Linked DNA regions of Struthio camelus. The protein of the gene in region 1 binds, or shares a complex with, the protein of each later gene. Links are inferred from orthologs where the notes say so. Each region holds a gene or a part of one and is shown in the gene's direction. Other genes may lie near its edges. The genes, in order: POLR3D, POLR3K, POLR3F and CRCP.

The links.
Region 2: POLR3D (region 1) and POLR3K share a complex: the UniProt entries of both Homo sapiens proteins name them as parts of the RNA polymerase III complex. The link is inferred for Struthio camelus from reciprocal best matches to the Homo sapiens genes POLR3D and POLR3K.
Region 3: POLR3D (region 1) and POLR3F share a complex: the UniProt entries of both Homo sapiens proteins name them as parts of the RNA polymerase III complex. The link is inferred for Struthio camelus from reciprocal best matches to the Homo sapiens genes POLR3D and POLR3F.
Region 4: POLR3D (region 1) and CRCP share a complex: the UniProt entries of both Homo sapiens proteins name them as parts of the RNA polymerase III complex. The link is inferred for Struthio camelus from reciprocal best matches to the Homo sapiens genes POLR3D and CRCP.

The regions. Positions count from the first base shown.
Region 1 is NC_090968.1:5,467,427-5,475,078, reverse strand, and holds the start of POLR3D (DNA-directed RNA polymerase III subunit RPC4), read left to right. Parts: upstream 1-4,651; 5' UTR 4,652-4,730; coding exon 4,731-4,898; intron 4,899-5,560; coding exon 5,561-5,604; intron 5,605-5,936; coding exon 5,937-6,088; intron 6,089-6,191; coding exon 6,192-6,319; intron 6,320-6,403; coding exon 6,404-6,575; intron 6,576-6,745; coding exon 6,746-7,017; intron 7,018-7,089; coding exon 7,090-7,245; intron 7,246-7,524; coding exon 7,525-7,647; 3' UTR 7,648-7,652. Other genes in the region: PHYHIP (phytanoyl-CoA hydroxylase-interacting protein), read right to left, coding at 589-753. UniProt on the Homo sapiens protein: DNA-dependent RNA polymerase catalyzes the transcription of DNA into RNA using the four ribonucleoside triphosphates as substrates.
Region 2 is NC_090956.1:19,330,891-19,336,688, forward strand, and holds POLR3K (DNA-directed RNA polymerase III subunit RPC10), read left to right. Parts: upstream 1-4,729; 5' UTR 4,730-4,750; coding exon 4,751-4,861; intron 4,862-4,943; coding exon 4,944-5,031; intron 5,032-5,116; coding exon 5,117-5,244; 3' UTR 5,245-5,296; downstream 5,297-5,798. Other genes in the region: RHBDF1 (inactive rhomboid protein 1), read left to right, coding at 72-491; SNRNP25 (U11/U12 small nuclear ribonucleoprotein 25 kDa protein), read right to left, coding at 2,601-2,655, 3,717-3,791, 3,903-4,008, 4,411-4,501, 4,597-4,710. UniProt on the Homo sapiens protein: Core component of RNA polymerase III (Pol III) which synthesizes small non-coding RNAs using the four ribonucleoside triphosphates as substrates. Can mediate Pol I proofreading of the nascent RNA transcript.
Region 3 is NC_090944.1:146,895,330-146,903,049, reverse strand, and holds the start of POLR3F (DNA-directed RNA polymerase III subunit RPC6), read left to right. Parts: upstream 1-4,669; 5' UTR 4,670-4,716; coding exon 4,717-4,772; intron 4,773-5,082; coding exon 5,083-5,200; intron 5,201-7,285; coding exon 7,286-7,353; intron 7,354-7,720. Other genes in the region: DZANK1 (double zinc ribbon and ankyrin repeat-containing protein 1), read right to left, coding at 773-926, 1,584-1,692. UniProt on the Homo sapiens protein: DNA-dependent RNA polymerase catalyzes the transcription of DNA into RNA using the four ribonucleoside triphosphates as substrates.
Region 4 is NC_090957.1:15,565,605-15,573,155, forward strand, and holds the start of CRCP (DNA-directed RNA polymerase III subunit RPC9), read left to right. Parts: upstream 1-4,500; 5' UTR 4,501-4,569; coding exon of another isoform or gene 4,570-4,577; intron 4,578-6,441; exon of another isoform or gene 6,442-6,581; intron 6,582-7,487; exon of another isoform or gene 7,488-7,525; 5' UTR 7,526-7,551. UniProt on the Homo sapiens protein: DNA-dependent RNA polymerase catalyzes the transcription of DNA into RNA using the four ribonucleoside triphosphates as substrates.

The DNA.
Region 1 (7,652 bases):
GTGCAGCGCTCCCCGGGAGCGATGCCCAGGCGCCCACCCAGGCGCCTCCGCCCCAGAGCCGCTGCCCAGCCTGGGGCCACGGGCTGCCCCGAGCCCCCCACCCCGCTCCCTGGGGTCCTGGGGACCGCCGCTGGACGGAGCAAATGGCCGTGTCAAGAGGCCACCCAGCAGCTCCGCAGTGCAGAGCCGTTTCTGTGGCAACAGCGAATGCCGAAGTCGGGAGATACAGGCAGGGAGAGAAAAAGAAACGATGATTATTGGGGAGGAAAAAAAAAATAATGTTAAACATTAAATAGCATCACCGTGGCAACCGTGCTGCTAAAAGAGTCCCGAATTGGTGACTCTCTTGCGGAGGGAGAGAAGCGCGAGCGGTTCGCACCGTCTCCCCCGTGCCGGCTCGGAGGGGCCGGGCCGCCCCCGCCGCGGGGGACCCCGGAGGGCTGCACCGCGCTCGCGGGCTGCGCGCCCCGCTCTGGCCCGGCACCGGCGGGACGTACCCCGGCCTCCTGCCGCTATCCCCAAACCTGCCCGTGCTGTGCATCGGGGCGGGGACCGCTCGGTCCCCGGCGTGCGGGGCCCCCGGCTCACCCGGTGCTTGAACTTGTTGGAGTTCTTGTTCTCCTTCTTGTTGAGGTCGATGAAGTAGTGGGTGACCCTCTCCAGGTCGCCCTTGTCCATGGCCCAGGAGATGCGGAAGGAGTCGCAGGTGATGTTGTTGATCTCGATGTTTTTGGGGGTGGAGAGCAGGTCCATGGCCGGAGGCGCGGGGGGGGCTCCTGCGGGCGCGGGGAGCAGCTGCCGGGCGGGCGGGCGGGCGGGCGCCCCCGCGGCGCAGCCGGCACCTCGCGGGCGGCGCGGCCAGCGCCAGCCCTCGCTCGGGCCCCGCTGCCGAGCAGATGGCGCTAGGGAGGGAAGGGGCCGGGAGCCAGGAACGAGCGGCAGAGCCCCGAGCCGGCCGGGAACGAGCCCTCTGGCGCGGCGTGCTGCAAAGCGGCTGCGGCCGGAGCCGGCGCTGCCCGGCACGCCGCGAGAGCCCCGGCCGGCGGTTCTCGCCGCCCCGGCTTTGCTCAACACCGGGTGGGGAAAGAAAAAACAAGAGGAGGGCCGGGCGCGGGCAGGATCGCGTGCGAACGGCTGGCAGCGGCTGGACGGGCGCCGCGCTCTGCCCGTTCGCTCGGGCCGGCTCCCCTCCCCGCCTGCCTCCCGCCCGCTCGCTCCGTGTCCGCGTCCTCTCTCCCCGCGCCCGCTGCGACGGCGCCTTTGCGTTTCGCCGAGCACGTGCTTTTATTGAGAGCTGCCGCCGGCGCGGCCCGCGTCTTTCCCGCGCTGCCGAGGTCTGGCCGAGCAGCGCGGCAGGGTTTACCCGCTCCGGCGCGGGAAAACCTCGGCGCTCCCGCATCCCTCGGGTCCCGTCGCCCCGGGAGGGCCGAGGGAGCCGGGGCAGGACACGACGCCGGGAGCCCGAGGCGGCGCCTCCGCTCCGGGCCGGGGCAGCGGGCCGGTCCCCACGCCCCGAACCTCCCCGGGAAGCCGCCGAGCCGGCGGGGCCGGCACAGGCCCCGACCTGCGCCGAGTGCGTAAGCGCTTCTGCCGCGGGCCGGGCGCGCTGGGGGACGCGCGGTCCCCAGGCCCCGGCGATGCACCGGCTGGGGGGTCTCGGCGTTTTTGCACGCCCCGATTCGCTCCGATCTCCGGGGCGGCCGCAGCGGGTGCCCGGCGCTGCTCCGCAGGCTGCTCCGAGCCATATTTAGCTCCGACGCAGGCGAGACGCCTGAGGAGCGCGTCGCAGGCTCGCGCTAACTTAGTCATGACTTGCCTGCAGCTCCCCCGCGCGCGCAGGGGCGGGCGGCGCGGGGGGAGGCGCCGCGCACCCCGGGCAGCGCCCTGCACCGCTCGGCCCCGGGCGCACGGGCAGGGACCGAAACCCCCCCGGGGGACGCGTCACAGCCGCGCTGCCCCTCTTGCAGCGGGGTTTGGCACCCGGCTACGCCTGGGGCGGGAGAAGCAGCCCTGCGAAGGCGCGCACGGGTGCACCGGGCACGGGCGCGTGCACGGGCAGAGAGGTGCCCTCCAGCAGCCAGCACGCAGGAGGCTCGGGCCGGCCCTCGGGGCACCTCGGCAGCGCCCGGGAGGACGGAGCAGGGGACGCATGCAGCAGGGCAGCCCCCCGGCTCTGCCCCCCCCCGGCCGTGCGGCCCAGGGCTTGCGTGAGCCCCGCAGAGAGGGGTGCTGGCCCCCCATCCGTGCCAGGGCAACCCGGGGGCTCCCCAGGGAGCGTGGGACCTCGGGGCTGCTCCGCGTGAGGCTGCCAACGCGCCCGCCGCCCCCCGCCTCGGGCCCCCTCCCGCTGCCCACGGTGCAGGGTGGTGGGGGTGCTCACGCATGCACACGCGTGCGCGCGGCCGCCCACGCGCTCCGGGTGCATGCCCGCAGCCCCCGCTCCCTCCCTCCGGCCCCGCCGCCCCGCGTCCGCCTGCACGCGCACCGCGCTTGGGGCGCCCACGCCGACGCGCGGGGGCAGGCGCTCCGGCGGGCGCCCACGCCAGCCCACGGGTGCTCCCGGCACCGAGCAGCGCGGCTGGCGCGGGCACACGCAAGACGCGACGGGCGCCTCCCGGCTCGCGCACCGGGCTGTGCGCGCGCCCGCTCCCACGTCCTTGCAGAGCCCGGTCGCCGCAGACCCCGTGCGCTCCCCCACGCCGGCCCCCAGCTCTTCCCCCCGCGGACAGGGGAAGGTCATTCCCTCGGGGACGGCCGAGCGCAGCCGCCCTGCCCAGCTTGCCAGGGCTCGTCGCCCCCTCGTCCCTCGCTTTGCCTGCACCGGTTTGGGAGCCAGGTCGCGTTTCCCGTGCGCCGCGCTCCCTCGCATCACCGAGCGCCCGTGTCCGCGGACGGAGCGCTGCGCCGGAGCCGCTCGCCCCAGGGCCGAGACGGAGCGAGAGGCAGGTGCAGGAGGGGAAGCCCGGTGCATGCTGCAGGGCGCTGCGTTCGCCCGGCTCCCGGCGCCGCCTGACCTGCGAGCGGCCTTACCTGCTGCGCAGGAGGGCTGCGGGGCGGCGAAGGGAGCTGGCACGGCACGGCACGGCACGGCACGGCACGGCAGGCTGCGCCGCCGGCACTGAACTTGGCCGCAGCGGCGGTTCAGGCTGCGACAGACCGCGGCGGCTCGTGCAGTTCCCGACGGATGCTCGTCCTCCTGCCTCCGGCTGCTGCTGCAACTGCTGCTGCTCAGATCCTCCCAGCCAGCTCCGAAATAGCAAACACCCTAAAGAGGAGGAAAAAAAAAAAAATCAAAGCAGCATGGAGGAGAGGGGGGAAAAACCCTGCTCTGCCAATCGGGTGTCAGGCTGCAAAGCATCAGGTGATGAGCAAACACGTCGCCTGCCTGCCAGCGGAGCGGGGACAGCCGTGGGAGCGGGAGGCGAGGCCGCGGGGGCGGCTGCGGGTGCGCGCGGGGCGGGGAGAAGGGACGCGCTGGGTGCCCAGCACCCTGGGGGAGGCAGGCCTGGCCCCTGGGCCTGCAGGGAGGTGGGCGGCAGAGCCTGCTGCCTCCCACCCGACCCCACCGCTCATGTGTGTGCACGCGTGTGCATGCACGTGCACATACATGTGTGTGCATGCACGTGCACGTGCATGTGTGTGCATGTGCACACACGTGTGCGCATGCACACACATGCATGTGCGTGCACACACGCGTGTGTGCATGCATGCACATACACACATGTGTGCATGCACACTCAGACACCCCCCCCAACACACAACTGGGAAACGGGTCAGGTCCCTGCTCTGGGCACGGGCTCACAGCTGGTGCGGGGATGGCAGGACGCCGGGGGCTCTGCTGCTGTGGTTGGGGGGGGGCATTGGGAGCACTGGGAGAGGGGCTGCCCCCGCACTGCCCCTGTGCTCCCCATCCCACGGGCCGGGCGCTGCCCGGCACAAAGATGGCGCCGCCGTCTTCCGCGTGGGGGGGGGGGGGCAGGCACTGCCCTACTCAAAGATGGCGGCCCCGCCCAGACACTGCTTCGGCGGGCCCGCAGCAAACATGGCGGCAGCGGCCTCCTTCCGGGAACCCCGGGCCGCGCGGCACGCATGCGCAGTGGGGGCCGCGCGCCGGCCGTGCCCGGGGTGGGTAAGGGGCCGGGGCGGCGCGGCGGGGAGGGCACGGCGGGGGGGTACCCGTGGGCGTGGGAGGAGTGAGCCCCCGGGCGTGGGGGGTGCAGAGGGGCGTGAGCACCCTGGGGAAAGGGGTTCTTGGCAGGGGTTGAGCACCCTGGGGTGAGGGGTGCATGGGGGGGTGAGCACCCTGCGGTAAGAGGTGCATGGGGGGGTGAGCAGACGGGGTAGGGGGTGAGCACCGTGAGGTAGCGGGGTGCGAGGGGGCAGGGCTGGGGGTGCATGTGTGGAAGCACCGTGGGGTGGGGGGGGTGGATGGGCATGGCTGGGGGATGCACGGGGGGGGGGTGAGCACCCTGCGGTAAGGGGTGCACGGGGGGGTGAGCACCCTGGGCTGGGGGATGTGAGGGGGGGTGAGCGCCCCTGTTGGAGGGATGTGAATGGACCCCAGGAGGGGAGATGATGGGGTGCTGAGCACCCTGGAGAGGGTGCATGGGTGCAGAGAGCCCTGGAGCGCTGCGTAGGGGGGGAACCCAGGTGCCTGAGCCCCCGGAGGTGGGGGGCCGAGGCTGCGGGCCGGCTGCCCCAACCCTTCCCCCTCGCAGGTGACCGCTGGGATGGCGGAGGGCAGCTCGGGCGGCGAGGGCGGTGGGGCGCCCGGCAGCCTGCGCCCGGGGCTGCCCGGGGCGCGGGGGCTGCTCGGGAGGCGCCCGCCGGCCCCCCTCAGCCCGGGGCGCCTGCCCTCCATCCGCTCCCGAGACCTCACCCTGGGAGGTGTGAAGAAGGCGAGTGTCCCAGTGGGGAATGAGCCCTTGGGGAGGGGGGCGCAGGGCCTGCTCCAAACCCAGCCCCTGGGAGGTGACCCCGGTCCGGGGTGCGCAGACCCCCGTCCCTGCCCGGGGGGCCTGCAGCGTCCTGCCCCGTTGCACGGCGGGGGCTTGAAGGGCCCCGGGGCGCGTGCTGCAGCCGCGTGGCGCGTGTGCCAGGCCCGCGGGGCGCGAGGAGGCAGCCTGGCGCCGCAGACCCCCTTTTCGGGGCGGGGGGCCCCCGGTCCGCCCGCGGAGACCGGGCTGAGCCGCGGCGAGGGCGTCCCTGGCGCGGCTCCGCGGGACGCACCGGGGCAGGTATGCCAACGCCTGCGCTGTCGCGGGCGGCAATGCAGCCGGACTGGTTCTGCACCCGCCTCCCGCTCCCGGGCACGCCGCCGGGCGCACGCCCAGCCCCCCCGGGGCGGCGTCGCTGCCAGACCCCGCGGCGGTTTGGGGCTGGGGGCCAGCCACTGTCCCCCTGCGCAGGGACCCGGCGAGAGCCCCGCCAGCCCCCCGCGCGCCTGCCGCTGCGCTCGCCCAGCCCCGGACCGCGTCCTGCAGCGCTGCCTGCTTGGTTTCTGTTGCTTATCTTTGCTGCCTCCTCGTGCAGTGACTTGTCCCTCTGTTCTTGCCTGCAGAAAACCTTCACCCCCAACATAATTAGCAGGAAGATCAAGGAAGAGTGAGTGGCCTCGCGAGCGATCCCTGTGCGGCGGTGTTGGGTTAAGGCAGCTGGCTTTGACCATGGGCCGCTGGGGACCTGCGCTGCGGGGTCCCGGCGTGCAAAAGGCACCTCCAGAGAGAAACCCGCTGCCGGGAGGCTGTGACGGGGCCGGAGCGGCAGCCTGTGGCCGGGCCCCGGCAGCGTGTGCCGTGTCAGGGGGGTCTCTGGAGGCCCATCGGGAGGGGGCTTGGTGGTGGCCAGGTTTGGCGCGCACGTTTGGGGTTGGGGAGGGCTGGGGCTGGCCGCATGGCTGCTCGGGGCTGCTGGGCTCCGTCCTCACCTCTCCGCAGGCCCCGCGAGGATGTCTCCGTCAAGAAGGAGAAGAAGGAGCGGGAGCGGGACAGGCAGCGCGACGGGCACGGCCGAGGCCGGGGCAGACCGGAGGTCATCCAGTCCCACTCCATCTTTGAGCAGGGCCCTGCTGAAATGATGAAGAAGAAAGGTAGAGCCGGGGATGGGGGGTGGGTCCCCACGGCCGTCCCGCACCGGGTCGGAGCTCTCCCCTGCTCGGGGCGACGTCCTCACCCGGGGCTGCCTCTCCCCAGCTGGCTCCTGGGACAAGACCGTGGACATGTCGGACTTTGGCCCTTCCCACATCATCAACATCAAGAAGGAGAAGAGGGAGACGGACGAGGAAACGAAGCAGATCCTGCGCATGCTGCAGAAGGACGACGTGAGTGGTGCCGGGGCGCCGCGGTGGGAGGTCCCCGGGCCGCCGGGACAGCGCTGACCGACGTGGCACCTCCTCGCCCCACAGTTCCTCGACGACCCCGGCCTGAAGAACGACATCCGGAACAAGCCGGTGCAGCTGCCGCTGGCCCACTCAGGCTGGCTCTTCAAGGAGGAGGCCGCCGAGCAGGAGGACGCCCAGCCCTGGCTCTCCGGCCCCAAGGAGGAGAAGATGGAGGTGGACTTGCAGGCGGTGAAAGGTGCTTGCGGGCGCGTGGGGCTCCCGGCGGGTAGCAGCTGGGGTGTCCCCGGGGTGCTGCTCGAGCTGGGAGCTGGGACGGGCTGGGGGAGCTGCAGAGTGCCCGGGCTGTCCTGCCCGCAGCAGGGCTGCCTCTGCTGCCCCGTGCCCACCTTCTTGCCCCGGTGCCAGTGAAAGAAGAGCCGTGTGACGGCGAGGACCCCAAAGAGGCCCTGCCGGCGACCAAGGCGGCGCAAGCCAAGGGCCCCCCCGGCTACCCCCGGGACATCCCGGTGGCGGAGCTGCTGCAGCGGCTGAGCCTGTCGCAGGAGGAGGAGCTGCTCTTCCTGCAGCTGCCCGACACGCTGCCCGGGCAGCCGCCCACGCAGGACACCAAGCCCATCAAGACGGAGCTGCAGAACGAGGAGGGGCAAGTGGTCGTGGTGAAGCAGGAGAAGAGTCAGGTGGGGGCCGGCGGGCGCAGGGGTCCCGCGGCAGGCGGGGTGGCAGCGCGGTGACGCCGGCACCTCCCTCAGCAGGAGGCGAGGCAGGCGGAGAACACCTGCACCCTGGCCGACCTGCCGGAGGGGCAGGTGGGGAAACTGCTCATCCGGAAGTCAGGAAAAGTGCAGCTGGTGCTGGGCAAGGTGACCCTGGACGTGACCATGGGGACACCCTGCTCCTTCCTGCAGGTATGAGCTGGGGCGGCCTTGGCAAGGGGTCAGGCTTGCATGTCACCCCGGGGGCCTGCTTTGTGTGGCTACGCCGCGAGGTAGCCCGCAAGGTGATTTGGGGGTCCCCGATGCTCAGACTGGGGCGGTGGGTCCTGCAGAGACCGTCGGGGTTGTGCTGCTCCTCAAGGACAGCTTTCAGGGAGCTCCCCGGCCTTAGTCACAGCACCTCTGTGATGGAGAGGGGAGGAAGGAGCTCACTTTTCATCCCCCTAACCCTTTTTCGTCCCCTCTGCGAAGGAGCTGGTGTCCGTCAGCATCGGAGACAGCCGCACGGGCGAGATGATCGTGCTGGGCCACGTGAGGCACAAACTGGTGTGTTCCCCGGACTTCGAGGCCCTGCTGGAGCACCGGCACCGGTAGCGAGG
Region 2 (5,798 bases), on another chromosome or scaffold:
CCTGGAGCTGGCTGCAGAAGCCAGGCAGGTGGCATGTGGCTGATGTTACTCATAATGCTCTTCTTCTGCAGGTTGGCCCTGCAGGATCCCAGTTTGGGATTCTGGCCTGTCTCTTTGTGGAGCTCTTCCAGAGTTGGCAAATCCTGGCACGCCCATGGAGGGCCTTCTTCAAGCTGCTGGCAGTGGTGCTTTTTCTTTTTGCCTTTGGCCTCCTGCCTTGGATTGATAATTTTGCTCACATTTCAGGATTTATCAGTGGCTTCTTCCTCTCCTTTGCCTTCCTGCCCTACATTAGCTTTGGGAAGTTTGACTTGTATAGGAAGCGATGCCAAATTATAATTTTCCAGCTCATCTTCATTGCACTCTTCTCAGGACTTGTGATTCTGTTCTATTTCTACCCCATCAAGTGTGAGTGGTGTGAGTTCCTTACGTGTATACCATTCACAGACAAATTCTGTGAGAAATACGACCTGGATGCACAGCTCCACTGAAAGGCAAAGACTTGTTTCTCGAGCAGGCACTGGAGATGGACTGTCTTTGCATTTGCTGTGTTGGTTCCGTATGGACAGAGCCTCTAATCCAAATGACACTTCTAACCCTGCCCGTGGTTAATTTAAACTGTCTCCTTAGCACTTGGCAGGCATGTTTTGCCTTATCTCAGAAGACTCTGAAAACAGAATGTTTGTGCCTTGTTCAATTGTATTGAACCTTTTCTGCTGCCATTATTTTTATTACACTAGTTTCAATACTACATTTTTAACTAGAGTTGTTTACTACTGCTAAGGTGGTGATTAAATGGAAAGGTAGCGTTTTAGCTACTGTTAATTGTTCTGCGTAGTCTGTGGCTACATTTGTTACTTTCTCCTCTATGCTGTTTCCTGCCCCTGTAGGGTAGGTAAGTCCTTTTCTAGCACTCCAACCATAGCCAGACATGGGTTTGCAGGTGGAAATGAAATAAGGGCCATAAAGGCTTCAGAAAACCACATCGTCTCTTTAATCCCTGAAAAGGGACACAGCATACAGCTCCGAGGCAGATGTTTCAAACAGCAACTGCAGAAGCTGTGGCATCTGAGAGTTTCCATTCGACTCTGAGTCTGTTTCCATTTGAAATGCTACAACCTTTTCCTCTAGGAAGGTGCTGAATCCACAGAATGGTCTTGGTACAGCTGGATTATCTGCTTTTATCTGTTAAACAAAGAAAAGGTGTGACAGGGACAATAGTTACTGTGGTAATACAAGAGTCCAGCATGCAATACCTGGCCTAGGCTGTCCATGGGGATCAGCTACTGCCACAGGTGACCCACCAGTGGTCGTAGGCACCTCGAGGCAGATAGATAGAGCTCCTCTGTCAGGGCACACGTTTTCTTATGGTGGATACCGTGAGGATGGCAGCATTGAAAGAGGGGGGAAAAAAAAAGCCACTGTGGTGGCAAAATAACATTTTCTAACCCAGCCAGTTAAGAGTTACAAAACAAAATGAACAAACAGGCATTTGGAAAAGCTGATGATACCACTGCTTTTCAGAGTTTTAGATGTGTTTTTAGATGGGGGGAATAGGGAAGCTGACACAAGTTTAAACTTACTAAGCTTGAGAATCTTGGCCACACCATGCATTTATGTGTACATAACTTTTTTTTTAAAAAATGGCAGCCTCATACTGGAATCATGAGGTCCACATGGGTTACAAGGAGATAAATATACATGTATAATGTTTCCTGTGTTGGAAGCATTTTTAAATGCATCAGTTGCACAAAAATACCATGAACGAAAGTTTTCTAGCAGCATGCCCGGCTTCGCAGGACAATGAATCAGCTGAATTCAAGTCTCTGTAAACTAGAAAATGGAGAAACTGAGAACGTAAACACAGGACATGAGCTGACGTCTCTCTTTTCTCTAGCTTGCAGGAAAAGGGCTCAAAATACATCCTCTGTGGAACAGTGGAGAACATGCTATGTTTGCTGTTGCATTTACTTATGTACACCCAATGGACGTTTCTGTTAACTGCAGGTGCTCTGCATGGTACAGGAAGGAGCTAGGAGCAGAGCGGGAGAAAGTTGCTCTGCTCTGTCTGGAGATAGTCTGAGACACAAAGAAGGATCAAATGAGCTGGGTGATGGCAATCACCTGTAGGCACAGAGAGCCCTTCTTTCTCCTAGGGATTAGTTAGCAGCCTGCCGCATTCCTGACAGTGAGCTCCAGAAATGATGAAGCCTAAAAGAAAGCAGCATCCTAGAAGCAGTCGTAAGGGCAAAGGAGCACTGCATTTAATGAGTCCCAGGATGTTGTGGGAGCAGATTCAGAATCCAAATGCAAGACAAGGTTAGAGATAAGCCATTGTCAGCACTAAGATACACCATTTCAGGAGCAGCAGCAATGCTATAAAGACACTGCGTTAGCATCCATGGCACAGGCTACAAAACCAAAATGTGGAAATGGACTAGAGCCAGGCTGTGTGCCTAATGCAGATATGGGCATTTAGGAATGCTCTGCTAAGCAGTGGAGAGCAGCAATATCAGCTGCTACAAGCATTAGCACTAGCCCTGGGAAAAGGAGGATGCTCTGGTAGCTCTTAATGGATTTTTCAGGACTTACCTGACAAGTTACTTTCGAAGTTTCTTTATGAAGCTGACCTCATCGCGGTTTCTAATGCCATACCTGAACAGAGAGTGATGCTGTTACATGCTAATTCCCCAGGAACCACCACCTTTGACGGACATCCTATTAGCCTCCTCTTTCCCCTGGGGAGATGGACTCATACTTTCAGGTGCTGTGCTTTAATGCAGGACAAAGTCGAATTCTCACCTGCGTGAGTAGAACATCCTGCCAGGACTCCAAGATGTGATCATCTACCTTTTAAACTGCAACACAGCCCAAGCGTAACAGCTATCACCCACAGATCGATCTTTCAGGGACAGCTTTCCTTACCTACGGCTGTCTTTCTAGGGCTTTTTCCTGCTTGCTAAATTTGTTTATATTACTTGAGACAGCTCCTGCTCCTCACCACCACCCCCAAAAGGGGTGTTGGACTAGATCACTCCACATCAACACATGCTGTGATTCCACGACTCCAAACACTCCACCTGATTGATTGCCTCCTTCAGACCACCTTGGATGCCCTCCCCCACGTGATGTGATGTGACCTGTCCCCATCCTCCCTTTGGTAGCTGCTCTCCGTGCGCTTCCATTAACACACACACACCAGTTCCCCAGACACGAATGGATGTGGTCCTCTGAACTAATGTGCATCAGGCGCGTGACACCAGCCTTTCTTTGCCTTCTCCGCCTGCTACTTGCCTTACCTCTCAGCCATACTTTTTTCGTGTTGTCTCTGCAGGGTACCTAAGGTGAGAACTGAGCAAACATGACCTATTCTGCCTTAGTTTTGGCATGGACACCAAAGGGTGATACGGGGGGGGCCAGATGTGGTGCGAACGGGATGCTCTCAGCGCAGGACAAGCTGTGGCTGGGGAACGAGCCCAGGCGGCCTCTCGGCCAGTCGGTCAGCGGCGGAGCGGTTGCATCGCCTGAAATGCCAGCCCTGCCTCGCAGTGATTTTTTTTTTTTATTTTGGGGGGGGGGTGGTGCAGAACCTAAGTGAGCCAGAGCAGAGCAGCCCAGACTGATCCCTGCCTGTGCAGCTGCTTTGCGGGCTACCCGGACAGCTTGACTCCAGCTCGTCCCCATCCCTCCCCAGCAAACCGCAGACGCCCGCTCACTCTCTCAGCTTCTTCCTGTCGTCTGCCAGCTTTTCTCCAGCGTAGGTTAAGTGGTATGTCCTCCATATGTACTTCCTGGGGAGGGAAAACGCTCAGGGCGGGCGGCAGGAGGAACTGCCCGCCTTGGAAAGGCCACCGAGGTGGGGTTTTGGGGGGGGGGGGTCCTCCGGCCCGCGCCCCGCTCACCAGCTGAGGTGCTGGGCGCCGCCCTGCCGCGCCTGCCGCAGCTGCACGTGCCGCCGCAGCGCCTTCTTCAGCTCCAGCACCGAGGCGTTCTGCACCACCACCACGGCTGCGGGGGCCGGGGGGGACCGGGGGCGGCTCAGCGGGGCCTGTCCGCTCCCCCCGCCCCGGCCCCGGCCCGGCCCCCCCCACCCCGCTCCCCCGGCCCCCCCAACCTCCCCCGGCCCCCCCAACCCCCCCAACCCCCCCCACCCCGGCCCCCAACCTCCCCCCGCCCCGCCCCGGCCCCCCCAACCCCCCCCACCCCGGCCCCCAACCTCCCCCCGCCCCGGCCCCGGCCCAGCCCCCCCCAACCTCCCCCGGCCCCCCGGCCCGGCCCCCCCAACCTCCCCCGGCCCCCCCAACCCCCCCAACCCCCACCCCGCCCCCCAACCTCCCTCGGCCTCGCCCCCGGCCCGGCCCCCCCCAACCCCCCCCGGCCCCCCGGCCCGGCCCCCCCCCCGGTACGCACGCATGGTTTCGCCGTCCGCCTTGCAGACGCGCACGGTCATGGCCTGCCCGTACTCGAGCGCCACCTGCGAGCCGATCTCCTCCGGCGTCACCTGCGGGCGGCACCGCCGCGACACGGGAGCGACGCGCCCCGTGGGCCGCGCCGCCCCCCCCGCCCGGGCCCCGCCCCGGCCGCCGCGGGCCCCACCTGAGGCGGCAGGTCGCAGAGCAGCGGGTCCTGCACCAGCCGCGCCAGCGCCGCCTGGAAGAGCTCCAGCACCTCGGCGTGCGCCAGCTCCTCCTCGGGCTCCGCCGCCGCCATCGCCGCGCCGGAAGGGGCGGGCGGCGCCACGGAAGCGGCGATGCTGCTCTTCTGCCCGGCCTGCGGCAACGTCCTGGTGGCCGAGGAGGGGCCGCGGTGCCACCGCTTCGCCTGCACCACCTGCCCCTACGTGCGCAACGTAACGCGCAAGGTGCCGCGGGGGGGCGGGCCGGGCGGCGGGGGGGGGCGGGGGGGCGGGAGGCCGGGGCCCCGCTGACCGGCCGCGCCCGCAGGTGACGAGCAGGAAGTACCCGCAGCTGAAGGAGGTGGACGACGTGCTGGGCGGCGCGGCGGCCTGGGAGAACGTGGACTCCACCGCCGGTAGGGCCGGGCCGCGGGGCTGGGAGGGCGGCGGCGGCGGCGAGGGGCCCGCTCGGACTCACCTGGCGCCCGCCTGGCCCCGCAGAGCCGTGCCCCAAGTGCGAGCACCCCCGCGCCTACTTCATGCAGATCCAGACGCGCTCGGCCGACGAGCCCATGACCACCTTCTACAAGTGCTGCAACGCGCAGTGCGGCCACCGCTGGCGGGACTGAGCCGGGCCCCCCCCGGCCCCGGCCCCGGCCCCGGGCCCCCCCCCGGGCCCCGGGCCCAGGCCGGCGCCCGCGGCCCCGCGGCGGGAACACCAGGCCGGCCGCGCCGAGGCCTGCGCGGGGCGGCCGCGCTCTCCTGCAATAAAGCTGCCCGTGGATGGGAACAGCGTGGTCGTCGTGTGGTGGTGGTCGAAAAGCTGTCGTTCGGCCCTGGGCCACCAGTGCCGCGCGTCTCGGAAAAGGACCTTCAGAGGCCCCGACGTGACGTTCTCTGTGGGTGGGTGGTGGGGTGGGCAGGGGGGTTGGGACAGGACGGGCCCATGAGGCCCTCCTTGCTCCAAATCACCGTGGTTCTGCTATAAACGCACTCACTGAAATGAATGCTCTGCCTGGGTTGTGCTTACCATGCAACACATATTTAAAGCATTGCTTAAAATACTTAACGGAGAAGTCTAGGTAAAGGTTAAAAGCAGGGATCTTTCTTACAAGTAATAGTCATCAAACAGCAGCCTGGGTCTGTCTGGTGGGTGATAGAACAGAGGCCATAGCAAAGGTGA
Region 3 (7,720 bases), on another chromosome or scaffold:
GCCTTTTTTCCGTGTCTCCGCACAAGGACTATAATGTTGTTTCATTGCAATGCAGACATAAGCAAAGGCTACCTGCAGGTGCTAATAGTGCGGGAGCAGTAAGCCCAGATCCCCAGCTGGAGCGGAATTTTATGCTCCCTTGTAAATAGAACATAAAAATACAACAGGGTACAGTCAGAGAATGCATGTGTCCCCATGGCCTGTGTCTAAGTGTGAAGTTAGCTGGAAGAAAGTCAATGATCAAGTTCTCTTTCTACATGTTATATTTTTACTTTGCTTTTGTGTGTGCTACATTGTACTTACGCTGTGAGGCCTAGTATTCTGCGCTCCTTTAGGAGAAGCTGAGCACGTTTCTCAGAAGACCACTTCTATAAATCTGTTGAATCACTGGATGTTTCCTGGCCTCAGAAAGCATCATACCAGCTCCTCTAGCATTTCTGATGATCATACTCACATGGAAGAACTCTAAGTACAGTGTATTTTACCAGCCCCTCACCCACAGCCTTCATGGATCATTGGCCTTCAGCCAAGGCCCAGGAGAAAACATTGTAGAGATAATCCAGCTCCACAAACACTTAATGATTAAAAAGTGCTATGAGAAAGTGAACACAGTGAAAGGAATCCAGGAAGATCACTTAGACTGAAAACCGGCTGGGGCAAGAGCTGCCCCTCATTCCCCAGGTACAGAATGCTTAGAAAAACACAGCTCCACGCCATGACTGGGATGTCCAGTCCTTGCCCCAGTACTACTAAAATAAAACAAGATACCTACTTTGTAACTGCCAATGCCTTGACCATTATTTTCCCAACTGGTAACATGATAGGTTGCTTATACTCAAAAGTATTATGCTCTCCATAGCTGGGTTTCCTAATGAGTTCTGGCTTACTTCCGTCTAAAGTGTAATAAATAGTGACTGCAGGTGTATCTGAAAGACACGGAGAAAGTTATTATCCAAATTATATTAGAGCTGGGCAAAATAAGCTCTACACCTGGAAATACTCACTCCTATGTTTGATTTTTCTCACATAAACAAAATCAAGGAGTAAATGATTGAAAGTTCAGGACCAAAACTATTTCTCCCATGAAATGCTGGTGACTAAACAAACAAAATGTCATTACAAGCAATATTTCTTTTCATAAAGTAGTCATACACTGGTTTTGTATGAAAACAATGCAACAACTTGTCTGTTCTAAAGACAGAAAAAATAATTTCTCCCATGATGAAAGATGGAATTTCAAAAACCGTAAGGAACACTTTCTGAGTGAGCCAGGCACATCATATTTTCAAGTCCTGGTTTTGCAGTCACAGCAAAATACAACAACTTAAGAGCTTGATCTCGGAAGCAATTAAAACTGCGAACAGGTATGAACTCATATATTATGACAATAATATTGCTTGAATGCTAAAAGTTAAGTGTATATATTTGCAGTTTCAAAACATCTAGGTTAATTTTGTGAGTTACTTAAGGAAGTGGAAACTCACAAAAATCATAATTAAATGTAAACAAAAATATAGAGGCTAAGAGTTTCAAATGATCACATAAGGAAAAGTTTTACACAGAGTCAAAAGTGTTATTTATACCTGACTTTATTTCTACAAGAGTATTTGTGTCTATTTCATGTTTAGCCTTCCCTGGAAGAGGGATTCGAAGAGGTATGACCTGAGGAACTAAGACAGAACCCGCTGTCATTTTTCTCAGCAAGGATCTTTAAAAAAGAACGAAAAACAAAAAAGCAGACAATTATTTTTCATAACACAAGAATGCAGTGAGAAATGTTGCATTTTAAAGAGATTCCTCATCCTGGTTTGTTTCCTTGAAAGAAAGAACACTGAATTCCTTGAAATACTAGTTCTCATCAATATTTCTAAGGTTTTCACACTGAAAAAGAATAAGATGCTATAGACCCATCAAACTTTCGACCTATTGTCCTATTACAGGGCTATGAATAGGGCTTGAGATGAGCACTGTTGCTTTTATTTCAGTTTGGCCTTCTCTGCTTGAATTTGAGGGCCACTTACTCAGGTGAAACAGCTTTAGCATCATATATCTTATACCATGCCAGGAGAGAATAACTGTGAAGCATCTTCACCCTCATCACTGAGATATGGTGTCATTTTCTCTACAGGAGGAACCAGTCCCTTGTTTCATTGTGGCCATCCAAATGTATGTCAGTGAGATGCAAGATGTCCCGAAAAGGACTAAAACAAGACAGCTATTCCTCAAGCTTGCCTCACCTGTGGTATACTTTAAGCATATACCTATCAAGCAGGTGCCATACATGATTTATCATAGCCTTTATGTCACTGAATTCAAGAATGAAAAGTTACGTTTGGATACGACAGCGTTTTAGAATACAAAAAGGATGTACTGCAGGTCATGGGAATTGATATTCACTGCCAGAAAACATGTCTACACTGGAAGCATTTCGTTTTGTAACTGGCCGTTCAGTCCTCCCGCAACGTCTCTAACACTAACTCATCAACGTAGATAGTAATGACTGAGTACAGAAGGAGTTCACGGATCTATGGGCTCACAGGGGCTACACTGAGATAAGCCAAAGTGCTATCTGCAGCTGCCCATCACCTCGGCTGCACTGCCTGTAACGGCTGGTGTAATGAGTGTGGGCAGTTCTCAGCCAAGCCGTTGGGCCGCATGCTGTGGCACAGGTGAAAGGATGATGCATGGATCCGCTCTTTACCTGACACGAGGGGGCAGACACTAATTTTCTCCGAGTACCTGACTGCTCTTGCCACACCTAGACCAGAAGCAAAGCGCCCTGTTTCAAGCCTGTGGCAGCCCACGATGGGTGGGATAAAGAGTGAGTTCCCATGGGCATCGCACCGTGACGGGGCTCCGGACCCCGCTCCAGCACAGCACAGCCCCTTGCTGCACCCCGCCGTGTGCCGGGCCCCGCGTTCCCTCCTTTCACTACGCAGCCCTGCCCACCCCACTGGATCCCCACTACGCAGCCCTGCCCACCCCACTCGGTCCGTGCTCGGCAGCCCCTGCCCACCCAGCTCCATTGCATCCCACAGCCCTGCCCTCCCCCTCCATCCCTGCTATACAGCCTCCCCACCTCCCCTTCATTCCCCCTGTATAGCCTATAGTCACTGCACTCCCAGCAGATCCCCACTATACCGCCCTGCCCTCCCGCTCGATCCCCTCTGTACCGCCCCGCGTACCCGCTCGATCCCTGCTATACCGCCCTGCCCTCCCCACTCGATCCCCTCTATACCGCCCTGCCCTCCCCACTCGATCCCCTCTGTACCGCCCTGCCCTCCCACTCGAACCCCGCTATACCGCCCTTCCCTCCCTACTCGATCCCCTCTATACCGCCCTTCCCTCCCTACTCGATCCCCTCTATACCGCCCTCCCAGCAGATCCCCTCTATACCGCCCTGCCCTCCCCACTCGATCCCCTCTATACTGCCCTGCCCTCCCAGCCGATCTCCTCTATACTGCCCTGCCCTCCCCGCTCGATCCCCTCTGTACCGCCCCATGTACCCGCTCGATCCCTGCTATACCGCCCTGCCCTCCCCACTCGATCCCCTCTATACCGCCCCGCGCACCCCCTCGATCCCCTCTGTACCGCCCTGCCCTCCCACTCGATCCCTGCTATACCGCCCTGCCCTCCCTACTTGATCCCCTCTATACCGCCCTCCCAGCAGATCCCCTCTATACCGCCCTGCCCTCCCCACTCGATCCCCGCTATACCGCCCTCCCAGCAGATCCCCTCTATACCGCCCTGCCCTCCCCACTCGGTCCCCTCTATACTACCCTGCCCTCCCCCTCGATCCCCTCTGTACCGCCCTGCCCTCCCCCTCGATCCCCGCTATACCGCCCTCCCCCTCGATCCCCGCTATACCGCCCTGCCCTCCCCCTCGATCCCCGCTATACCGCCCTCCCCCTCGATCCCCGCTATACCGCCCTCCCCGCTCGATCCCCGCTATACCGCCCTCCCCCTCGATCCCCTCTATACCGCCCTGCCCTCCCCCTCGATCCCCTCTATACTGCCCTGCCCTCCCCACTCGATCCCCGCTATACTACCCTGCCCTCCCCCTCGATCCCCTCTGTACCGCCCTGCCCTCCCCCTCGATCCCCACTATACCGCCCTCCCCCTCGATCCCCACTATACCGCTCTCCCCGCTCGATCCCCGCTATACCGCCCCGCGCACCCGCTCGATCCCCGCTATACCGCCCTCCCCCCTCGATCCCCGCTATACCGCCCTCCCCCTCGATCCCCGCTATACCGCCCCGCGCACCCGCTCGATCCCCGCTATACCGCCCTCCCCCCTCGATCCCCGCTATACCGCCCTCCCCCTCGATCCCCGCTATACCGCCCCGCGCACCCGCTCGATCCCCGCTATACCGCCCTCCCCCTCGATCCCCGCTATACCGCCCTCCCCCTCGATCCCCGCTATACCGCCCCGCGCACCCCCTCGATCCCCGCTACACCGCCCTCCCCCTCGATCCCCTCTATACCGCCCTGCCCTCCCCCTCGATCCCCGCTATACCGCCCCGCGCACCCGCTCGACCCCCTCGTCCCTCCTCGCGCCCGTTACCACAGACGCCGCGAGCCCGGCCGCGCCCCTCGCCCTCTCCCCTACCCCCGCCGCCGCCGATTGGCCCGCGTCCCGTTGCCTGGCGACCGGCGCCTCACTGCGGCGCGCCGCTCCGGCGTCATCGCCGCGCGCCGCGACCCGGCGGTGCCGCCATGGCGGAGGTGAAGGTGAAGCCGGAGGTCCCCGACCCGGTGGACATAGAGAATAGGTGCGCCCTGGGCCCGGCCCGCCGGCGGGGAGCGTCGCGTCGCGGGTGGGTGGGGCGGCGGCGGCGCCCGAGGCCCAGGGGGCTGGTCCTTGCCTGGGGACACCGCGCGTGTCGTGCTGGCGCAGGGGCACAACGAGGGATGGCGTCAGGTTGCCTCAGCTCCCCCCCCCTCCCCCCCCCGTTGCCTTTCCCAGTCCTCGGGAAAACTCTGTTCTTTTCCCTTCTCTTCCGTCGTGGTTGCAGTAACTTTGCGCCTTTGGTTGCCGCTGCAGCGGGGCCTGGTTGAAAATTTGCCTTTCTCCTCCCCCAGGATCATTGAACTGTGCCATCAGTTCCCCCACGGCATCACAGACCAGGTGATCCAAAATGACATGCCTCACATGGAAGCCCAGCAGCGAGCCATGGCAATCAACAGGCTGCTCTCAATGGTAGGGCCATCTTGGCTTCCAGTGCGCTCTGCATACACATAGGCTGCATGGTAGAAACCCGTCGGGCAGGGCTAGCAAGTTTTCTTTGGATTTAGTGATGTGCTCAAAGGTTGCCATAACCAATTAAAACATGCCTCAAAACTTAATAGTTTCCACTCTGTAATACAAGATTAACATGGATGTGCATATTCACATGGATTTCTAGGTTTAAGAGGCTACCACTGAGAAGTTCCGCATTTGTTTTTAATATTTTTCTCAAGAGTAGATGTGTCTAGAGTTCTGTGGTCTTTCCCCTGTGTATCAGTTTGTATGCAAAGCAGAATGTGATACAGTAGTGTAATATGAGAGTCCTGAGTGCAGGTGTAGCAGCAGTGGCTCAGCAGGTGATAAGACAAGCAGACATGGGTGATAATGACAAAGCCCTGTTAATGGTGGGGAAAGAATTAGCTAGAAAGGAAAGAATGGATATTGGCCTGTGCTGTTATATGTGAAGCCCTTCACCAAGCCCCTCACAAAATTGCAGGATTGTGGATTACTCTGATGACAAATAAGCAGGTGAAACACCTCAAGGAGTTTTTGTAACTCCTAGAAGTTTCCTACATCTCACTATGCATTTCCCTTTATTTTATCAGGACCCAGCTTAAGATAAGAGTGAGGATCACAGCCAACTACTTCTGCCACATGTTCAGGAATAGATAGAAGCTGTTGAGTCTTGGTTCTACGTGGCATAAACTTGAATATCAGCTAAGTGTTCAAGGTCTTAAAGATCAGGATTCCGTTCAGTTCCTTTGATAGCTGTTTCATACGCACATGGAGACTGGGTGGTGCAATGGAAAGCACTGTAGCGAAAGAAAAGCAGTATCTGATGCTATTGCGGTGGCGTGTGTCAGCGAAAGGAGGGGCGCTTGTACCCTGGGAAAGAGGGGTGGTAGAAAGTATCCGAACTGAGCAAGTTTCTTTTTGGGTTTGTTTGTTTGGTGTGGGGTTGGGTTTTTTTGTTCTGTTTTGTTTCTTTTCATAAGCAAAACTTCTTTAACTGGAAGAAAAAGTGCATGGTGCTGGAACTAATCTCTCTCTCTTTCATCTTTCTGCTTATAGATACGAGGTTTATAAGCACAGTAGATAAGAGCTTGTATTCAACCACTTTTTAATGGGTTGGCCATGTTTCACAGGGAGGTTTCAATGATAGTTAAGTCTCTAGAACTTATTTAAAATAGACACCTTGGGAGTGTGGGGAGAGATCCAGTAAGTACCTTAAGCATGGGAAGAACAGCAGTGAGTGCTAAGCCTTCATAAGCATCAGGGACTTCACATGAGATAAGACATAAGCGCTTTACCTATGGAAAAGCATCGAGTGGGATCATGTTGAGGTGTGAGCTCCAATCAACCACATAATGCAAATCTATAAGAAATAAGGCTGTTACCTATGAGGAATGGATTAGCTAGCAATGAAGGAGTGAATATTAAGCTAATGCTATTATATGCATTTATGTTCTTGGGCTTGTCTAATTGCTTGCCTCTTTCTTCAAAACAGGAAGTAAGAAATTACTTGGCTCAGTCAGAAGTCCAGGATAGGATACACCTTGTGTGTGAGAGATGCCAGTAATTTGTCTCTGAGAGTTATTGGCAGTCCTGACTGGCAGTTTCCCATTGGTGGTTTTTTTTTTTTTTTTAACTAAAGAAAGAACTTTGTTACTGGAAATCAGAATTTTTCAAATCTATTGTTCATTAGAGCTCTAACTTGATTTCTGGATTGCCATAGAAATGAGCGTTTCGGTGGAAAGCAAGAAAAAGGCATACGAGAGCTTGATGTCCTTTGTGCAGTGGCGAAAGCTAGCAAGCGCATAGAGGTGGGAAGAGGCTGGAACTGTATTTATTATTTCTAATAGCTGAGGATAAATGGATAGTTGCAGGAAAAAACACCCCGGAGTGTATTGTTTCTAGTGGTTGGAAATGTTAGTTTTCCCTTTCTTCACGCAGTTGACATTAAATAAGGCTTTATACTTTAGAAATGGTTTAGAAGATTCTTGCCATATTCTGAAACAAGATATTTGAAGGAAAATAATGTGTGCCTGTCTCTCCTAGGGACAACTGGACCTGCTCAGGAGCAATGCCGGTCTCCTATATAGGATCAAAGAGTCTCAAAATGCAAGGTAAGCCTCATATTTGTTGGATAAATGTTTGGCGCACAATTCTGTACTTCACGTGCCGCACTGCTGAGAAGACGCTCTGAGAAGTCTTCACTGGGATGATGGCTGTTACAGAATGTAATTGCTCATTCCAGAAGGGTATACTTAATTGCCCTGAGCTGATCCTGAAAACTGTTTTAGGTATAATGCTTTCTACTGAACAGAGGTTACTATGGAGCTAGAGCTCTCACTTGCTAGCAGAGTTCCTGATCTGGCAATGTGATCTTTGCAAACAAAGGCGTATGCTCAAGTGAAATCCAGTTGAAGTACAGTCTGCAAACGGTGGTTCTGTGGTCTTCCTGCATTGCTCAGGTTTCAAGGTTAGCTTTCC
Region 4 (7,551 bases), on another chromosome or scaffold:
TCCTTATTCTGGGCTTTAACAGAAGGTTGCTGATGTGTTGCAAAAATAGTAAGCACTGAATTTATAACCAGAATGGACCATATACAGAGAGCATCTTTGCTTCATGATGCTTGTGATATAGGCTCAAGGTTCGGACACAACCTGTGTAAGGATTGCGTGTGTTTCTGTCTGAAGATATTGAACAGGACTTACCCAAACTAAAAAAGGGGGAAAGGGAGGGATCCCAGGTGCTCCAGGCAGAGATTGGTAACACAGTGACTTGATATGAAATATTCGTGATTATGTATCCTAGAGTTTGGCCTTGCTGCCATTGAAATCAATTGTTCCACTGGAAGCTGTGAGGTGGGGTTGGGACACGAATCTGCAGCCGTGTGCACTTGAGTATTTTTCAGGGGAGACAACTGAGTTCGATTTCTGCCGTGTTCTTTTTCATAATCTATGCCTTGACTCCAAATCTGGTTTTGCAAGAAAGAAGCCTTTTGTGGCTGTTACCAGATGATCTTATTTTTATTAATCTATGCCTGATATTATACATAGTAATGGATGTATGCTTTCACATGGCATCTGTCAGCAGTTTCACTGTGTACTTAACACATTTTATAGGGATTAGTTTGCTTGTAGTATGTTGTTTTAACTCCTGTCCTAGTTTGTATCTAGGAGATGTATTAATTCTCTCTTCTCCCATTTATAGATGAAATAGGATCTCTTAAAGAGGCTTGGCATCAGGGAGCTGAACTGTTTTTTGGGAAAACAGTGAAACAGCACTGCAAAATAGGTCTTCTAATGCACACTGAAATGTATTCTCATCATTACTATCTTCTCTGTTTGTTCTGTTTTTGTTGTCTTTCCACTTCCACTTCCTGTCTTATTCTTTCAGGCTTTTATTTGCTTAGTGAAATAGAAAAATTGCCCCCAAAAACCCAACGCATAGTTAAATACCAAGGAAGTTCTGATGAAAAAGTACCGTATGTTCTACTTATTTTCCATTCTGGACACAGTATCACGGCCTGCAGTGTATCCTCCTTCTAGGACTTTAGTTGGCTAAGTTGGAGTTTAGCTGGCTGAGTGGAAGTCAGCTCCTTTACTGATAAGAGCTGTCGTGAAGAAAGCTCTAAGCGAGGGCCTGCCCCTCCTTGCCCTTGGGAACTGCTCTGAAGCTGAGGTTTTACCGCTGGCCTCCGCCTGTGCTACACGGCAGCCGCACAGCAGCTAAGTCTGCGCCTGCTCTCCTACCTCCGTGAGTCTCACCTGGACCCGGACCCCCTGGCTGGGCTTCCTGGGCTGGCCGTGCACCTGCCTTGTCACGACAGTCTTGCTAGGTGAGCCGTGGACTGTGTCTGACCCTCACCGCTGTCTCTGGCCCTGATCCTGACCTGGTGGTGATGTTCTGCATCTCATCTCCTTGGTGGTGAGGTCACTGCTCGCTCCGGCCTTATTAGTGCACTCTACTCCTGCCTCACCTTCCCTTGCGGAGCAGCCAGCCCTCGCTGGTCATACATTAATATTCCCATCTATACTCTTTTCCAGGCTGATGTACTATGAGATAATGAGTAAATTGCCCCTTTTGCAGCATGGAGAGGTTTAATTAAATATATTTTAATGTCCTCAGAGATTCAAACTTTATTTGTATTTGCTTTTGTAATCAAGGTCACATCTTTACTATTTCTTTTAGAGTGCCTTTTTGTTGAAAGAGACTAATACGTGTGGAGTTTAGCTCTGAAGGAGAGCCTTAGGGATTTCTAGAAATACACTATTCATAGTAGGACTAATTGTAAAAACTGAGTCCAGTAAAGAAAGAAGAGGACATAAACTGCTGCTCTACACTATCTTTAAAAAACATTCTTTTTTAACTGTCATTTTGGTTTAGAAAAAGAAAAAAGCTCTATAGACTGAACGTGCTAGTCAAATGCACTGTCAGCTAGGCTGCTGTGAAGCAGTGCTGACATTTTTTGTTAAAAATCAACTTTGTTTAATGAATTTTGAATGTAAAAGAAAAAAAGACACTATAGGGTGATCAGCAAAATGCTGAATACAGTAAACATCTTTCATGACAAAGAATACAAATACCATGCAGATCTGCTTTCAATAGCAATTACTAGGCCCCCTGCTTTCAATAGTTAATACCGAGGCCCCTCTCTCACCAAGCCTTAGCGGTTACAATCACAAGCCAATGCTTAAAATGTTGACATGCTAAGCACATTTAGAAAACCTATGTCTGCATTCCCTATGGATGGTGTAGCATAACTGTCTAACATCTAAACTGCAACCATTAAAAACAAAGTTAACTCGGCTAATCATCCCACCTCTCCGGAAAAGTTGTAGGTATGGATAATGAGCTCTCTCTTAGAGATTCCTCTTCTCCCTTGCATGATGTCAGTGGATCTCTGGCCAGTCTATTTTTGTGAAATTGCCAACAGGGTGTATGTCTCCACTGGAAAATATTTAGGAAGGATATGTCTCTATTGGAAAAAAAATTCAAAAGCCATTCTGAGAGGCATGTGTATTATGCTTATTCTTCCCAGCAGCTGGGATGGGACATGGTCGTCAGGGCTTCTAAAAAAGTGTATCAGCAAAGGTCTGGAATGAGACTTTTGGAGAAACACTGAAAACGTAGATGATAAATTGCGTTTAGGGGAGAGAGATAAGGAGGAGGTGCCAAGGAGAATAAAATTAATATGCTTAAGATTTTCAACTCGTGTCTAAAGAGAATGATGAGGGGAAGACAAGGATTAGTGGATTTCTAGAACAAAACCCTGAAAAAGAGTCTGGAAGTATATTCTTGAAAGAAAGCTGACATTCTTTCTTTTCTTTTCTTCGCTTTGACCTAGCTGGGAGCAAGTGTACAAGCAGTTTCACAGACAAGGTTTGAAGCATGGCAGAGAAGTTACAGAGCATTTGCTGTGCCAGTTTTGGCCCAAGTACAAGGTCAGTTAATCCTGACATGAAAAAGGACAGCATCCATCACATCCTATCCACTAATTCAGACCAATGGCTTTCAGTCTGCAGTGTGAAGACCTTTCTCCTTGGTCTTTTTCCTAAGGATTGATGAAAGGTGATTCTGGAACAGGAATTAATTTCCGTCTGTGCTACAATCTGTGTACGTGAACATGGCCCACATATCCACTGACACTTTTTCAGGGGTCTGCAACTGAAAAGGGCTGAAAAACCTTTGCAGCAGGGTTTTAAACTTTGCCCACCTCTTAGACACCTGATCGCGGTGGTACACCCAAGTACCCGAGTGCGTCTCCCGCTGTCCTTGCACTGAAGACTGCCCTTGAACCGCTGCAGTTTGGTCCCATCCTTCAGAGCTAGGTGAGGATTTCTAACACCGCAGAGAGAAGCAACGTCCCAGACTGAGGGTGGACCTTCTTCTGGCTTGATTCTGGAGGGAAAACTGGGTGAATGAATTTTCTGCTAGTATCACAGGACAAGCGAGGGAGCTTGTGGGCACAAAATATCCAACCGGTTTGGCTCCCTAGATTTCTCTTAACAAGCATGCATGTGTGATTCTGTAGGGAGTTACTGCTGTCGTGTTTGTATATAAACTTCTACCTGAGGGGCCAATAGCAAAATAAGTGATTTAATGTATTCCTGGCTCTCAATCTCTGATGCAGACGTAATTATCCCTGCTGCAGCCATTGGGATTTTCAGTTATTTGCACTCAATGAAATGTGTTCAGTTTTCTCAAGAGTGAAAAGAGCTCTTGCAAAATGTAGTAGCATATGTAAGAAAAGAGAAAGACTCAGGCTGATGGTGGAAAAAGACATATAATGAGCCTGAAGATGTATGCACAGGTGTTTTCAAAGACGACTGGAGGAAAGGGAGTATTATACAGCTTACAGTGTTCTGTTTGCACGCAGCTAGAAATTTGGTTTGGAAGGACCTCTAAAATACAATTTTTTTTCATTGTTATCATGTCTAAAGTGCCTAATTTTCAGAATCCAAATAGATTTTCAGAACATATTTTGCCCCACGTATCATTTTTGTAGTGAGCTTTCTGTCCACGGTAGTTACCGTTCTGGAAAAGTGCAATTTGTCTTTCCTTTAAAAACATAAAGGATCTGTTGCCTGTAATTCTGTATTATATGCTAATTTTCTATATGATCCAGAGGGACTAGCAGGCACATCTGTTTTAAACTTTCGTGAAAGCCCGAGAGGTCTTTTACTGCTCCGTGAAGATTTTGCGAAAGTGAGATAGGATCAGTGCAAAAACGCTCTCGCACGGGTAGAGGGGCGCGGCCGGAAAAACAGCTTCTACCGGGGGCATTGGTGGTTCAGTGGTAGAATTCTCGCCTGCCACGCGGGAGGCCCGGGTTCGATTCCCGGCCAATGCAACTGCGCTTTTTTGGTTTCTTGTTTTTTTTTTTCCTCCCCCCCTTCCCTCTCTCCCTCTTTGTCCATTTTTCCTCCTTCCTGAGTCCCGAAACCGCTTTCAGCTCAGCCCCGACCTCCCCAGCGCTCCCCTCGCCGTGGCTCAGCGGGCGGCGGCGCGCGCGGGGGGAAGCGGAAGGTGCCCGGGCGGGCGGCGGCCGCGGGCGGCCTCAGCGCGCAGCTGCGCGCGGGGACAAGATGGAGGTGTAAGGAGGCGGCGGGCGCGAGGGGCGGGAGCGGGCCGGGGCCGGGATCCTCCCCGCCCGCGGCGGGTTACGGCCGCTGGGACCCGCGGCTGTGCTGGGGGGGGGGTGGGGGGTGTATGTGTATGGGGCTGCCCGCGGTGTGCGTGTTTGGGGGGGGTGGTATATGTGGGGCTGCCTGAAGTGTGTGTGGGGGGGAGGGTTGTATGCGTATGGGCCCTCCTGTAGTGTGTGTATAGGGGGGATATGTATATGGGGCTGGGGGGGCAGACGTGCGTGGGCCCTGGCGCGGGGGGCTGGGGGGGCAGACGTGCGTGGGCCCTGGCGCAGGGGGCTGGGGGGGGGCAGACGTGCGTGGGCCCTGGCGCAGGGGGGCTGGGGGGGCAGACGTGCGTGGGCCCTGGCGCAGGGGGCTGGGGGGGGCAGACGTGCGTGGGCCCTGGCGCAGGGGGCTGGGGGGGCAGACGTGCGTGGGCCCTGGCGCAGGGGGCTGGGGGGGGCAGACGTGCGTGGGCCCTGGCGCGGGGGGCTGGGGGGGCAGACGTGCGTGGGCCCTGGCGCGGGGGGCTGGGGGGCAGACGTGCGTGGGCCCTGGCGCGGGGGGCTGGGGGGGGCAGACGTGCGTGGGCCCTGGCGCGGGGGGCGTGGGCCGGGGCAGACGTGCGTGGGCCCTGGCGCAGGGGGCTGGGGGGGCAGACGTGCGTGGGCCCTGGCGCAGGGGGGCTGGGGGGGGCAGACGTGCGTGGGCCCTGGCGCGGGGGGCGTGGGCCGGGGCAGACGTGCGTGGGCCCTGGCGCGGGGGGCTGGGGGGGCAGACGTGCGTGGGCCCTGGCGCAGGGGGGCTGGGGGGGCAGACGTGCGTGGGCCCTGGCGCGGGGGGCTGGGGGGGGGCAGACGTGCGTGGGCCCTGGCGCAGGGGGTGTGGGCCGGGGCAGACGTGCGTGGGCCCTGGCGCGGGGGGCTGGGGGGGCAGACGTGCGTGGGCCCTGGCGCAGGGGGTGTGGGCCGGGCAATATACCCGCTGCACCCAGTAAGAATTCCCGGAGCGCGCCCCGTTCGGGGAGCGCCATGGCCACTGTGGCGTCTGGTCCTGGCCAGGGGCCGTGCTAGGGGCCGTCGTACCCCTCAGTTGGGCCTTTGCCTCCGATGCCTCGCGTTCGTTTGGGCGTTCTGACGAGAAGCTGAGGTTTTCCGTTTGCTTTGCAAATATTGCTGAAACGTCCGTTTATTTGGGAAAAAGACATTGCAGCTTAGTTTTAATCCTGCTCTGGGTCCGCATCCCCCCTTCCTTCCCTTCCCCTCCTGCCTGGTGGGACGTGCCTGCATGCAGCCTTCTCCCTTTCCTTTCTTTTTTTAATCACCCGCCAGGCAAGCCTGGCAAAACAAGGCAAGGCGAATGGCCTGCAGAATCGCCTGCAGGCTGAGAACAGTTTCTGTGAAGGGCAAATAAACCCTTGATGGGAAGAGCAGAACGTGCTGGCGGGGAGAAGCAGCAAACACAGCGGGCGGGCGCAAATGCCCGCGGCAGGTCTAGCTTTTGGCCAGCCCGCCGTGGCTGGCAGGAAGAGCAGCCGGCCTGGCCCCGATGTCAGCACCGCTAACGTTACCTGCGCTATTGCAATTCATGCTATCCGTGGATGCTTTGTTATCATTAAATGTGCTACACTTCAAAAGTAGATAATAAGCAGTCATCAAAATATTAGTTTGTATCCCCATTGGCCTTAACGTGAGTAACAATCTGCAGGGAAATGCCCCGTTCTTGCCGTTGTGTCCCCCAAAATGCTGTGAAACGGGTGCACAGCCAGGCTCGAAGATGCGTGGGGAAAGATAGGATTTACCCTGCTGAAGAAGATTCTTTTGGCACCATTAATTCTTAAGTCTGCGGTGCCGCTTATGCACCTGCTTGATTTTTACTACCCCGAGTAGTAAAAACCCCAAGTTATTTTAATGGTGCTACTTCTTTTAGTACCAGGAGGAAGGTGCACCTGGGCCCCAAAGTCCTGACCGGTGAGTGGACCCTTGCGTCAAAATTGAGCAATCTAGTCCGTTTTGGACTTTGAATTGCCGTTGCAATCGCATCTTGTGCTTCCCTACCGCGTACCTCTTGCCTGGCAGCCCCTTCATAAAGGGACAGTCTGCAGCTAGGAAAACCTGCCTTACCTAAGGCCTTACCGTTTCAGAAGTATCTGTTACTAGAGGGGGGGGGAAAAAAACCTCCGCAAAATGCTTTAGTTTAAATGTAAAACATTTTTCAGCAGTAGATTTAAAACAGGAGGTGCCGGTGGTATTTTCGAAGATGTGATACCGTGCACTGAGCTACTTTTTGATATTGCGTGGAGAAGACAGTCTCAGTAATGTTTTGAACAAAAATTTGGAGCAGTAATAGCTGTGTAGTGTTTACAGATTTAGTGTTAACATCGCGTTTTCCTATCTTTTTTTTTGTTTAAACCTTAATCTCATAAAAGCCAAGCATACTGTTTAGCTGTCTATTTTAAAAATATACACTACTAGAATTCATTCTTTATAATTTTTTCTTAATTTGATTTTTTTAAAGTTTTTTTTAGCATTTATGAGAGTTAGGACAGAAGAAAGCAATTATATTTCTGCTTTGTAAATGCTACAAAAGTCTTTGAAACACTAGACTTGTTAGTTTATAATTCTGATATTTCAGCACAACAAAAATTCTTGAAGATTTGAGATTTAAGTGGGCTCATGTTTGTAATCCAATGTTACAGAAAAATAGGCATTTTTCTAAGAGACAAAATGTTACACGATTATAAAGGAAGCAATTGTCTTCCAGAGTTTTAAAATCAGTTTCCCAGAGACTCTGATTCTTGCACGGTAAATTGTTGACTCTGTATGATCATCTCACTTGTTTAATTGAATGATTCTATATATTTAATTCTTCCGCAGCAGTATTGTTTCCAACAGAGAATGTCCTTGATCCATAGGGATTTCCGTAGAGAGAGCCTGAATG